2 linked regions of the Drosophila melanogaster genome follow. Changing the gene in region 1 together with any one later gene gives a genetic interaction. Each region holds a gene or a part of one and is shown on either strand. Other genes may lie near its edges.

What was found. A genetic interaction does not mean that the proteins touch.
Region 2: of Idh (region 1) and D2hgdh, changing one suppresses a phenotype caused by changing the other (phenotypic suppression), as found in Drosophila melanogaster (one study listed by BioGRID).

Annotation. Positions count from the first base shown.
Region 1 is NT_037436.4:8,355,899-8,360,849, forward strand, and holds Idh (isocitrate dehydrogenase), read right to left. Parts: upstream 3,043-4,951; 5' UTR 2,760-3,042; coding exon 2,658-2,759; intron 2,228-2,657; exon of another isoform or gene 2,175-2,227; coding exon 2,118-2,174; intron 2,038-2,117; coding exon 757-2,037; 3' UTR 506-756; downstream 1-505. Other genes in the region: Culd (CUB and LDLa domain), read right to left, coding at 1-44, 107-310.
Region 2 is NC_004354.4:2,139,749-2,145,484, forward strand, and holds D2hgdh (D-2-hydroxyglutaric acid dehydrogenase), read left to right. Parts: upstream 1-1,740; 5' UTR 1,741-1,858; intron 1,859-2,150; 5' UTR 2,151-2,254; intron 2,255-2,938; exon of another isoform or gene 2,939-3,181; intron 3,182-3,243; 5' UTR 3,244-3,308; coding exon 3,309-3,500; intron 3,501-3,562; coding exon 3,563-3,704; intron 3,705-3,778; coding exon 3,779-4,472; intron 4,473-4,538; coding exon 4,539-5,112; 3' UTR 5,113-5,189; downstream 5,190-5,736. Other genes in the region: Pgd (phosphogluconate dehydrogenase), read left to right, coding at 5,659-5,666.

The DNA.
Region 1 (4,951 bases):
ACATCCCCGGCCACTGCATCGTTCTTAAAAACCAGCGGCGAGCTCTGTTTTTAAGTTCATAATTGCTGACCAAATCCCGTCTGGAGAAGCTTGTAAATACACTTACTCTATAGGCAGTAGTAGTCACATTCCTGGCGTGCACCTCTCCAGCTGGACTTCCCAGTTCCAGGAAGTGACGTCTTCCGTCCCAATGATTGCATATATCCAGATCCCGGTAGCTACTGCTGGCGGGATACGCCTCTCCTGGCCAGCAGAGCAGGCAGATCACGTAGGCCAGCAGGTAGCCATAGCCCAATGCTTCGGCTAGCATCGATAGTTTCGTCCTTCTAACAGGATCCTGAGCCCCTTCCGCTTGAACCGTCTCGGTCTGGTGCCGCCAAGTGTTAGAACACAACTGTGGCCATTTCGCTGGCAAATCCAATAAACCCAGAGCCATCAGAAGCCGCACAAGTGGACCGGGCCTCGTAACGAGCCCACCCTCGACTGGGTTAAAGACCTCTCGAGTCCGGTATAAAAATACATTTATTTGAAATTTCTTTTCCGTTAGACGTTAAAGGGAAATCAGGGTTTTTTTTTGCGTCTCGCAGAGACAATGAAACAGTGGGAAACATGCATCGAGGACACGGATTTTTAGCCTAGGACATGCACATCTACAAAAACGAATGGAAATATTGTGAATATGGTGACGAGGACAAGGCATCGCTGAGTAGTTTTCTAGAGATGCGAGGCCTGCTGCTCGGACTGAGTGCCGGATAGTCATTTGGCAGCAACGGCATTCTTGGCCAGGGCACCCTCCAGGTTCTTGGCCAGCGTGTTAATGAACTCAAAAGTCTCCTGGTAGTCCCTGCGAGTAACGGCGTTGATGTTGCCTTTAATGCAGATGGCCAGATCCTTGGTCATGGCGCCGCTCTCAATTGTGTCGATGCACACCTGCTCAAGGGTGTCGGCGAACTGCTTCAGTGGCTCATTGTTGTCCAGCTTGGCACGATGCAGCAGGCCACGGGTCCAGGCGAATATCGAGGCAATGGGGTTGGTGGAGGTCTCCTTGCCCTGCTGGTAGAAGCGGAAGTGACGCGTCACCGTTCCGTGAGCGGCTTCAGCCTCCACGGTCTTGCCATCGGGGCATAGCAGCACGGAGGTCATCAGACCCAGAGATCCGTAGCCCTGGGCAACGGAGTCCGACTGCACATCACCGTCGTAGTTCTTGCAGGCCCACACGAAGCCACCCTCCGACTTCATGGCATAAGCAACCATATCGTCGATGAGACGGTGTTCATACCAGATGCCCGCCGCCTCGTACTCCTTCTTGTACTGCTTGTTGTACAGGTCCTCGAATATGTCCTTGAAGCGTCCATCGTACTTCTTCAGAATGGTGTTCTTGGTGCTCATGTACAGCGGCAGCTTGCGGTCCAGAGCATATTTGAAAGAGGCGTGGGCAAAGTCCACAATGGAATCGTCCGTGTTGAACATTCCCAGGGCAATACCGGGGCCCTTGAAGTCATTAATGACCTCATCGATCACCTGACCGTCGGTTCCCTTCCAGGTGAGGGTCAGCTTGCCGGGTCCGGGAACCACGTAGTCGACGGCCTTGTACTGATCGGCGTGGGCATGGCGACCGATCACAATAGGCTTCTGCCAGCCAGTCACCAGACGGGGCACGTTCTTGCAGATGATTGCCTCACGGAAGACGGTTCCTCCCAAGATGTTACGGATGGTACCGTTGGGCGACTTCCACATCTTCTTCAGGTTGAACTCCTCTACGCGCTTCTCGTCGGGAGTGATTGTGGCGCACTTGATGCCCACGTTGTACTTCTTGATGGCCTCAGCACAGTCAATGGTGACCTGGTCCTCGGTTTTATCGCGGTTCTCAATACCAAGATCGTAGGTATGCAGCTCAATGTCCAGGAAGGGCAGAATCAGTTGGCTCTTAATGGAGTCCCAAATGATGCGGGTCATCTCGTCACCGAGGACATCCACAACGGGACCGGCTTTGATCTTCTGGGCCATCTGTTCGGGAGAGCATACCACACTTGAGTGCTTGAAGGGCAGGATGGGAATCTTATTAGCTACATGAAAAATGGATTTGTGTCTGAATGCTGCGGTATTGGGGTATTCACCTCGCTCACGGCGGACATCCTTTCATTATCCATGGATATCTTATGGGTTTTGGGGTCCTAAGCACAGGCGATACAGGCGAAACTTATATGTATGACGATAATAAACTGACAACTGGTCAAAGCAAAGTAAACTTTGATCAGCCTGGGATAGGGTGGGTCGATATTGATGGATGGAAATTAAAATACACCGTGTTTCAAAAGTAATCCCTTATCTTTACTTTGTAATATTTAATATTTCGTCGTGACGACGTAATTATTAAGGTACTTGCCTAAAAGTTAATATCTCTACTTTGCATTCATAGGTTATAAATTTAAGAAAAAATTGTTCAATTTTTTTGTATAAACAGTAAATATAGTAATCCTATTTATCGGATGCTAGCAGCACAGGTGACTACGTGATTGTTTATAATCTTAATATTGAGACCGACTTCAAAAAATTCAAAATATCTTTTTCTCCTGCTCATCGACCCACCCTATTCCGAAATTTAGTAAGCAAAGAGATTTAGAGCGACAGAGGGCGAGGATACAAGGAGGACCTACCGCGGCGCTGATGGCGAAATTGGCCCGAAAAACGGCCTGGCTGAGATGCGGCTGCCGGTGGACCGACGTCATCATTGCGGCTGTGCGGCGCAGGGCGAACATTTTACAACCGGATTGGTGTGGATGTGGGTATTATTATTATGAATGAACCGACCGACGACTGGAAACGAGAGACGATAGTGTTTGTCACCAATGTGAAACAATACGAGACAATATGACACTGGAGTCCCGGGAAAGAGAACAATTTTCGGACAAAGCAAAATTAAATGCTGTGGGCGTCAGACGCGCTCTAACCGTAACTGATAACTGTAAAGTGCCGTTAAGCGCTACAGTTTCCGACTCTCTTGGGTGGCGTACAATCGTCAAATTGTTGCGCAATCGGCGTAATCACAACGTTCTAAATGCCCAGTCAGATAAGATTTAGAACCTCGGACTTTGATAAGCTGCTCTCACAACACTCGGCACACTTAAAAGCAAGTGTTTTAATTAATAATGTAACGAGAGTATAAAAAACAATAAGCACTCGGCGAACGCGTAAACATGTAATCGTTATCGCCGGCTGACTTGTCAATCGCTTTCGCATTGCGGGTGGCATTGTCCCTCTCTTCCGAATGACAACTGTTGCGTTTATCAGCTGGCGAAAAACTTTTCCACTATTGCGGGCTAGCCACTTTTATTTAAAGTTCACGGCCGACTTGTTTTGATAAGGAATACAAATTAGAAAAGCGCGTGGCATTAAGCTTATTTATTCAACTTCACCCGAATTCAAAATCAGCTGGTACGTGCGGTACTATCGATAACGATAGTCGAACTGACATGTTAAAGCTTAGATAATATTTGAACTTGGGCGCCAATCTTTTTTTTTTTTTGTTGCGAAGGAGGCTCGCTCTGATTATCTTGAAACGTCTACCATTCTTATCTACTCAGTCAATGCCATTTACTTCCAAATTAAAATAGCAATTGCGTGATGTTTTTTTGGATTTTTCTTCTCATATTTAATAGATCCATTGTCTGACTTTAATATAAATATCTCTAAGTCTTTATAGGTACATGTGTACCTAATTAACATATTGAGGTGGCGCGATCGCCGAACACGCCATAAGCTGAGGCCACGCCCACAATTATATATAATAACAATATTTATGCTTTCACCAAACGAATTTCACAAGCGTTTTTTTTTCTAGTCCAACTGGGAGAATTCGAACATAGTACGATATTGATAAGACTTGCGATTGGTAAATAAGCTGGTAATGACGGGGCGAATAAATTATCTAGATCTAATCTGATATTTTCTCATCTGGTGTTTTTCTAGTCCCAGAAATATTTATTGTTGAAATAAAAAGATTGCATGATGACTTTTGACCCTTGAACTTTATGAAACTGTTAATACAAAATTCGCTAGAAATAAAAAAGAAAACCTAATAAAATTATGGTTTTAATTTTTCGACTGACAAGTTAATAAAAGAGTCCATCTATCCTTATCAAATATAAGTTTACGATAATCTAATTATAGTAATTAATTGTATTCAGATCTGACTTCTAGTTTGATAAATGAAAAAAATAAACGTCGACTGTTTAAGTTGTTTAAGCACTCAAAACATAGGACAAACTTAGAAAGTTAAAAACATTTCCAAATTGTGCATGCAAAAGTCCCAATGAGATACGAGCTATCTGGAGGTTTTCTCGAACCATCTATTTGTAGATATGCATAGTAATTGTATAGGTTTAATTAAAACTGTCGACACGAATTCAAGATTAAACTTTGGACAGCACCTGGAGAATCAGGTGGATGTGAAAAGGCCTGTCGAATGGGTTACGTGTCTCTCTCTCTCCACATATATCCCCCTCTTTCACACTGTCGTCTCTTCACACTTTTTTTATCCGTATCTCTCTTTTTCGAGGAGGCAAACCGGTGCAAAGAAAAAAACAAAACAGCGGCAGACAAATAAAATGCATATGAAAACAGACCGGTGGGGAAAGTTCGGGCCCAAATAGGTTGGGCCAGAGGTTATGCATAAAGTTAAAATGCGCAACTTATTTGCATTAAGGAGGCTTGAATTGCGGCAAATTTACGTATTGCAACCGATCTGGAAATCCACCATTTTTTATTTGCTCAGATAAATTGCAAGTCAGCCTTTGAGTGCAGTAAATAGCTGGGCGGAATGCGATCGGAAGTGTGGGTGTTTGGCGTGGAGTGTGAACCGGTTTATATAAGGCTAAACAAATGCTCCACTTACCTTTTAGAATATTTAAAATGCCGAATTTAGAATGTTAGAGCACAGACTAATTAAATT
Region 2 (5,736 bases), on another chromosome or scaffold:
CTTGCGACCTTTGGAACCAACCCACCCCTTTCCACCATTTTCCGTGGCCTGTACAAACCGATTTCCCAAACAAACATTATACAATTACCCTCAAAAGGGGATCCATTCTGATGTCCCAAGGGGTGTACACGTAATCCCACCCCTAAGATCATTAGGGGTGTGAACGAGCGTAGGAATTGAAAATGGCAGGGGGAGCCAAATAGGACTATTTGCCGTTTCAATTGTCTTCTAATCATGTCCTCTTTATGTATTCTATTAAACCGCAATAACTCCATTTTCAAAATATGCCTATATTTTTGTCACCGTCTGTAAATTTGCAAACGATTTTCAAACAGAGATGTGTGGTTGCGCTTGCCATTGTTTTAATTGCAATATATATAATGCAGCACTTGGCGTTATTTTATAATTTCCATGCGTGGGTAGAGTCCGTTTTACTTGGCAGAAGTTCTAAATTTAATGGATCCACACCTTGATACTCAGAAGTATTGAAGAAAAATCCTAAGAAACTGTCATAATAACTGAACTAAATTACTGGTTTTAGGAAAATTTTACTGGTAAGGAAAATGAAAGTGTTTACTAATCCTAAACAGAACAATAGACATTTAACTTAATACCTTTCGGTATGGAGACACACAAATTAATCAAAACATACCCAACATGAGATACAAAATTAAATATTGAACTCCATGATTGTAAGCTATAAATTTTAAGTTATTAGCAATCGTTATTGGGACTTTATCGATACCCAAGAAGCAATTATTGGAGTCAACTCACGAGTTGCGAAACAGGTACAAGTGTATGAGAATGTTATCTTCTCCATTTTTCTTTGGGTACAATAACAAAGTTGATTGAATTGTAGAAGTCGCTGCTAATTGGCAGTACAAAATGCCGACGGAAGATCGAAGCGAATAAAAAATGGGCGCACCACCGGAAAAGGTTTTTTATGGGGTGCAAAAGAGATAGCACCATTGTGCCGCCTGCGGAGAAGAATAGGACAGAGACAAGCTAAATGTTTAGTGGTTCAGTGGGCGTGGCTAACGCATGTGTGGTGAATTAAAGTGGCTGTATAACAGTTGTTATGCGAGGTGATATCCGTACTGGTTTTGATTACAAGTTTGCAATTTTAGGAATAAACGGTATAAAAATATGTATTAAATATGCTTAAATTTAAAACTAATTCTAGCGGTTTATATAATCTCTTTATATAAAAGATGTTAAGACTTTCATTTCTACACAGTGAATTTGCAATGCAGCTAGCTATATTTTGAAAAGCAACTAAGGCATAAATAAAACACAGAAGTAATAATAATAGTAAATGGTAATTGTTGATAACAAATTCCAATAGGTAAACAGAGATTTATCAATTTGATTTCCCAAAGCATTAAGATTTTGTTTGCGGTTATTAGAAGTAATTGAATTATAGAAAAAACATCCCAAAAAACAAAAAATTTTGTATTAGTATATTGTGTTATTTCCCGTTCACGAATCCATAAAGAAGTGGTAAACAGAAACAGTAAAACACAAATCGATCCCCAATATGAACTGTTGAAATTTCTACAACGCCGCTGTGGTGTGCTCACTCACTCGCTTTCGCTCTGAAAGCTCAGTTCGCTCTCTCTCCTGGGGAGCTTTCGCTCCGTGATCATTTTGAATTCTTTGATGGAGGGGGGGGGGGGGGTGTTTGGCGCCTATCGTATCTCTTAACTAACGCTAATCTGCCCCTGTTTTGCGTTTCGAATTTTAGTTGCGGTTTGTTGTGATTCCGGGTTGGACGCTGCTCTGAAGGACATCACTGACTTATGGATGAAAGGAGTAGCCGGACCTCGACGTGACCCCCATCCATCCGTACATAAACATTGTAAGTTCAGTTGGTGTTCCGATCAACATGCTTTTGAGTGCTTCTGCGTTAGTTTCTCTTTCGGTTTTTCAATTTTCCATTGAGAGATTCTGGCGCGTGAGGCTCTCCCATTCCCGGTTACTTGTCGTGTGTTAGTGAATGAGGATCCTAATTAATCCCTTTAGTAACTGCAGTGACACATCTGATATTCGTTTCACAACCGGTTTATATATGTATGCAGATGCTGATATTGTTTTCGCGCTTATCAGCTACCTGTTAACCCAGTGTTTCTGTTTGTCTCGCTTGTTTACAGACAACACGCGTTCGCACCCGCCCCCACACACACACATACACAAAAGCTCGAATTTTTTGACGTAATGAAACAAAACGACAAAAATACAGAGCAAGAGAGAGCGAGTGAGAATAAACATAGATCTCAATAATGATTACGAGGGATGGGCACTGCTATTAACCCGCTAAAAGACTATATTCATATATGCATTATACTTAAAGTATTTATATTAAGTACTTAACTTAAATATGTAAGAGATAGACAGAAGGAGGTGTTATAAATACTCCTGTGAAAATTAACAAATTGCGTATGTGCAGCTCCAGATTATATAACAATTGCAATAGTGAATTTAATGCCTACTGGTCTTAAATATGTACATAACATGAAATATTGTTCGTTGCAAAATACAAATACATTTTTGCACGAAGGCTAATCCACCGTAACCGGGTGGTGCAAATCCTCCAGGCATATCTATCCATGCATATACCCGTACCCGTATCCGTATCCGAATCCGAATCTGTATCTCTTCCAATCTGGCCCCGAGCCAAATTGCTTTATGACCGTTTCTGTGTAGGGATCTATCTACCTGCCGGCAATAATCTGTGTGGACTCATAAAGATCTTGACTCCACGGACCGTGGATTGCACTTTTCAAACCAGACCAAATCTAGACCGTGCTGCGGTGTGCGTGTGTGCGAGTGTGTGTGTGCGTGGTCCATAATAAATATGCTAATTTCGCATGCACGCGCAGAGTCGGAGGGGCTGATAACGTCGCCATATATAGTGATATACCTAGAGCCCGAGAGGTCTAGTGGAAAAGTTCGGTTTCCTGGTGTCCCTGCTATCAGTGCGATACGGCCCGTGGTGAGGAGAAGATTGCGTCCACACCCCCCTCGAGTGGATGAATGTTGGTGTGATAACGTGATAAGCATCCTAGTGCTCCGGGGAAGTCCGGCAGTCTGCCATTGTGTCTAAACAAAGAGAGTCGGCTTATCGAGCCGTTCCATAATAATAATAACTTCGCTTTTTATGCATCCTAACGCTTAATATAAAGTAACGAATTTTGTATGGCCCAAAGGTATTCCACAGTGTACTCATCCCATTGCCCATTTCAGAGACATATAACAGTTGCGGCATATAACAGATAAACTCGAAGCCCTTTCCGCAACCATCCTCCACGATGAGATTCCAACAGCTCCTGCATGTGCGCAGATTGGCCAGCGCCGGGGCCACCACCTTGATGAGGCGGCCTATCACCACCACCACCATCACCACCACCAGTCGCACCGCCCTGGCAGCCACCTACCCCGCTTTCGCAACCACTGTGCGCACAATGGCGGGCAGCGGGGCTCCGATCCCGGAGCTCACAGAGGTAGGTGTTCCTGTGGCGAGTTGTCCGCAGCGGAGATGCAACTGATGCAACCCACATTTCAGATCACCGACAACGTGCAGCGCGGCAACTACGCCACTCTGACCGACAAGGATGTGGCGCATTTCGAGCAGCTCCTGGGCAAGAACTTCGTGCTCACTGAGGACCTGGAGGGATACAACATCTGCTTCCTTAAGAGGATTCGAGGTAGGTTGTGTAACCAAATTCATTCACATTCGTGTGCCCTTTAATGAATTTCTCCGATGAATTGCTTCAACCAGGCAACAGCAAGTTGGTGCTTAAGCCCGGAAGCACGGCGGAGGTGGCCGCCATCCTGAAGTACTGCAACGAGCGTCGTTTGGCGGTGGTGCCGCAGGGCGGGAACACAGGTCTAGTGGGCGGATCCGTGCCGATCTGCGACGAGATTGTCCTTTCTCTAGCGCGCCTGAACAAGGTGTTATCCGTGGACGAGGTCACCGGCATTGCTGTCGTGGAGGCGGGCTGCATCCTGGAGAACTTCGATCAGAGGGCCAGAGAGGTGGGCTTGACGGTGCCACTGGACCTGGGCGCCAAGGCCAGTTGCCACATCGGGGGCAATGTGTCCACAAACGCGGGCGGAGTGCGGGTGGTGCGTTACGGCAATCTGCACGGCTCTGTTTTGGGCGTGGAGGCGGTGCTGGCCACCGGTCAGGTGCTGGACCTTATGTCCAACTTCAAGAAGGACAACACCGGCTACCACATGAAGCACTTGTTCATAGGATCCGAGGGCACTCTGGGCGTGGTCACGAAGCTTTCGATGCTCTGCCCCCATTCCTCGCGAGCGGTGAACGTGGCCTTCATCGGCCTGAACTCCTTCGACGATGTGCTGAAGACTTTTGTCAGTGCCAAGCGTAATCTGGGCGAGATTCTAAGCTCCTGCGAGCTGATTGACGAGCGGGCCTTGAACACCGCCCTCGAGCAGTTCAAGTTCCTGAAGTGAGTTGCGCCACCTTTGTCTTCTCTGAGCGTTACCAATCCTGTTCACAAACTTATTTCCCATAGCTCCCCCATTTCGGGATTTCCCTTCTACATGCTCATCGAGACCTCGGGCAGCAACGGTGACCACGACGAGGAGAAGATCAACCAGTTCATTGGGGACGGTATGGAGCGTGGCGAGATCCAGGATGGCACCGTAACCGGTGATCCCGGCAAGGTGCAGGAGATCTGGAAGATCCGCGAAATGGTGCCGCTGGGTCTGATCGAGAAGAGCTTCTGCTTCAAGTACGACATCTCGCTGCCTCTGCGGGACTTCTACAACATTGTGGACGTGATGCGAGAGAGGTGCGGTCCCCTGGCCACAGTTGTCTGCGGATACGGCCATCTGGGGGACTCTAATCTGCACCTGAACGTCTCCTGCGAGGAGTTTAACGGCGAGATCTACAAGCGGGTCGAACCCTTCGTCTACGAGTACACCTCCAAGCTGAAGGGCAGCATTAGTGCGGAGCACGGCATTGGCTTCCTGAAGAAGGACTACCTGCACTACTCCAAGGACCCGGTGGCCATTGGCTACATGCGCGAGATGAAGAAGCTGCTGGACCCCAACAGCATCCTCAATCCCTATAAGGTGCTTAACTGAAGGCTTCTACCTAATAGATTCTATTTTTTTTGTTTGTGTGTAATTTTCATAACCTTATAATACAGAAATGGCATTAGAAGTGAATTTTGTTAACTTGTGAAGTTAAAAAGGACCATCATATTTGGCACGAAACCAATGGGCAAAACTTACTTATAAAATAGTCCGAAAAAATAGTATATACCAGTTTTTACAGTACCACATTATAGGTACTCGGAGGTAATAATAGAAAAAACACTATCTTTGCATTTACTGTTACACTACGAAGCACTATATTTAGTAGCAGTACTCATTAGAGTCCACTCACAAAATTAGCACCAACCGGCAGTAATTGGTCAAGGATCGGCGATAGCTTCAAACTCCGAAGTTCAAAGTCAAACTGCCGCCCTGCGAAAGCTTCGCGAGTGGAGCTTTTCTGCACTTATCGATAGCTAACATTGTGGCGCGACTATCGATCGACGAGCTGCCGCTTAACAGTGCCATATATAGATTGTAACATTAGAAGCTCAAATCATTGTTGGAGCACAAACCACAAAGAACACACGAAACATGAGCGGGTGAGTAGAGGGAAATTCTCTTTTCCCCGGAGTTTTCCGCGATCCTAACGTCGCCCATTTCCGGATTTCT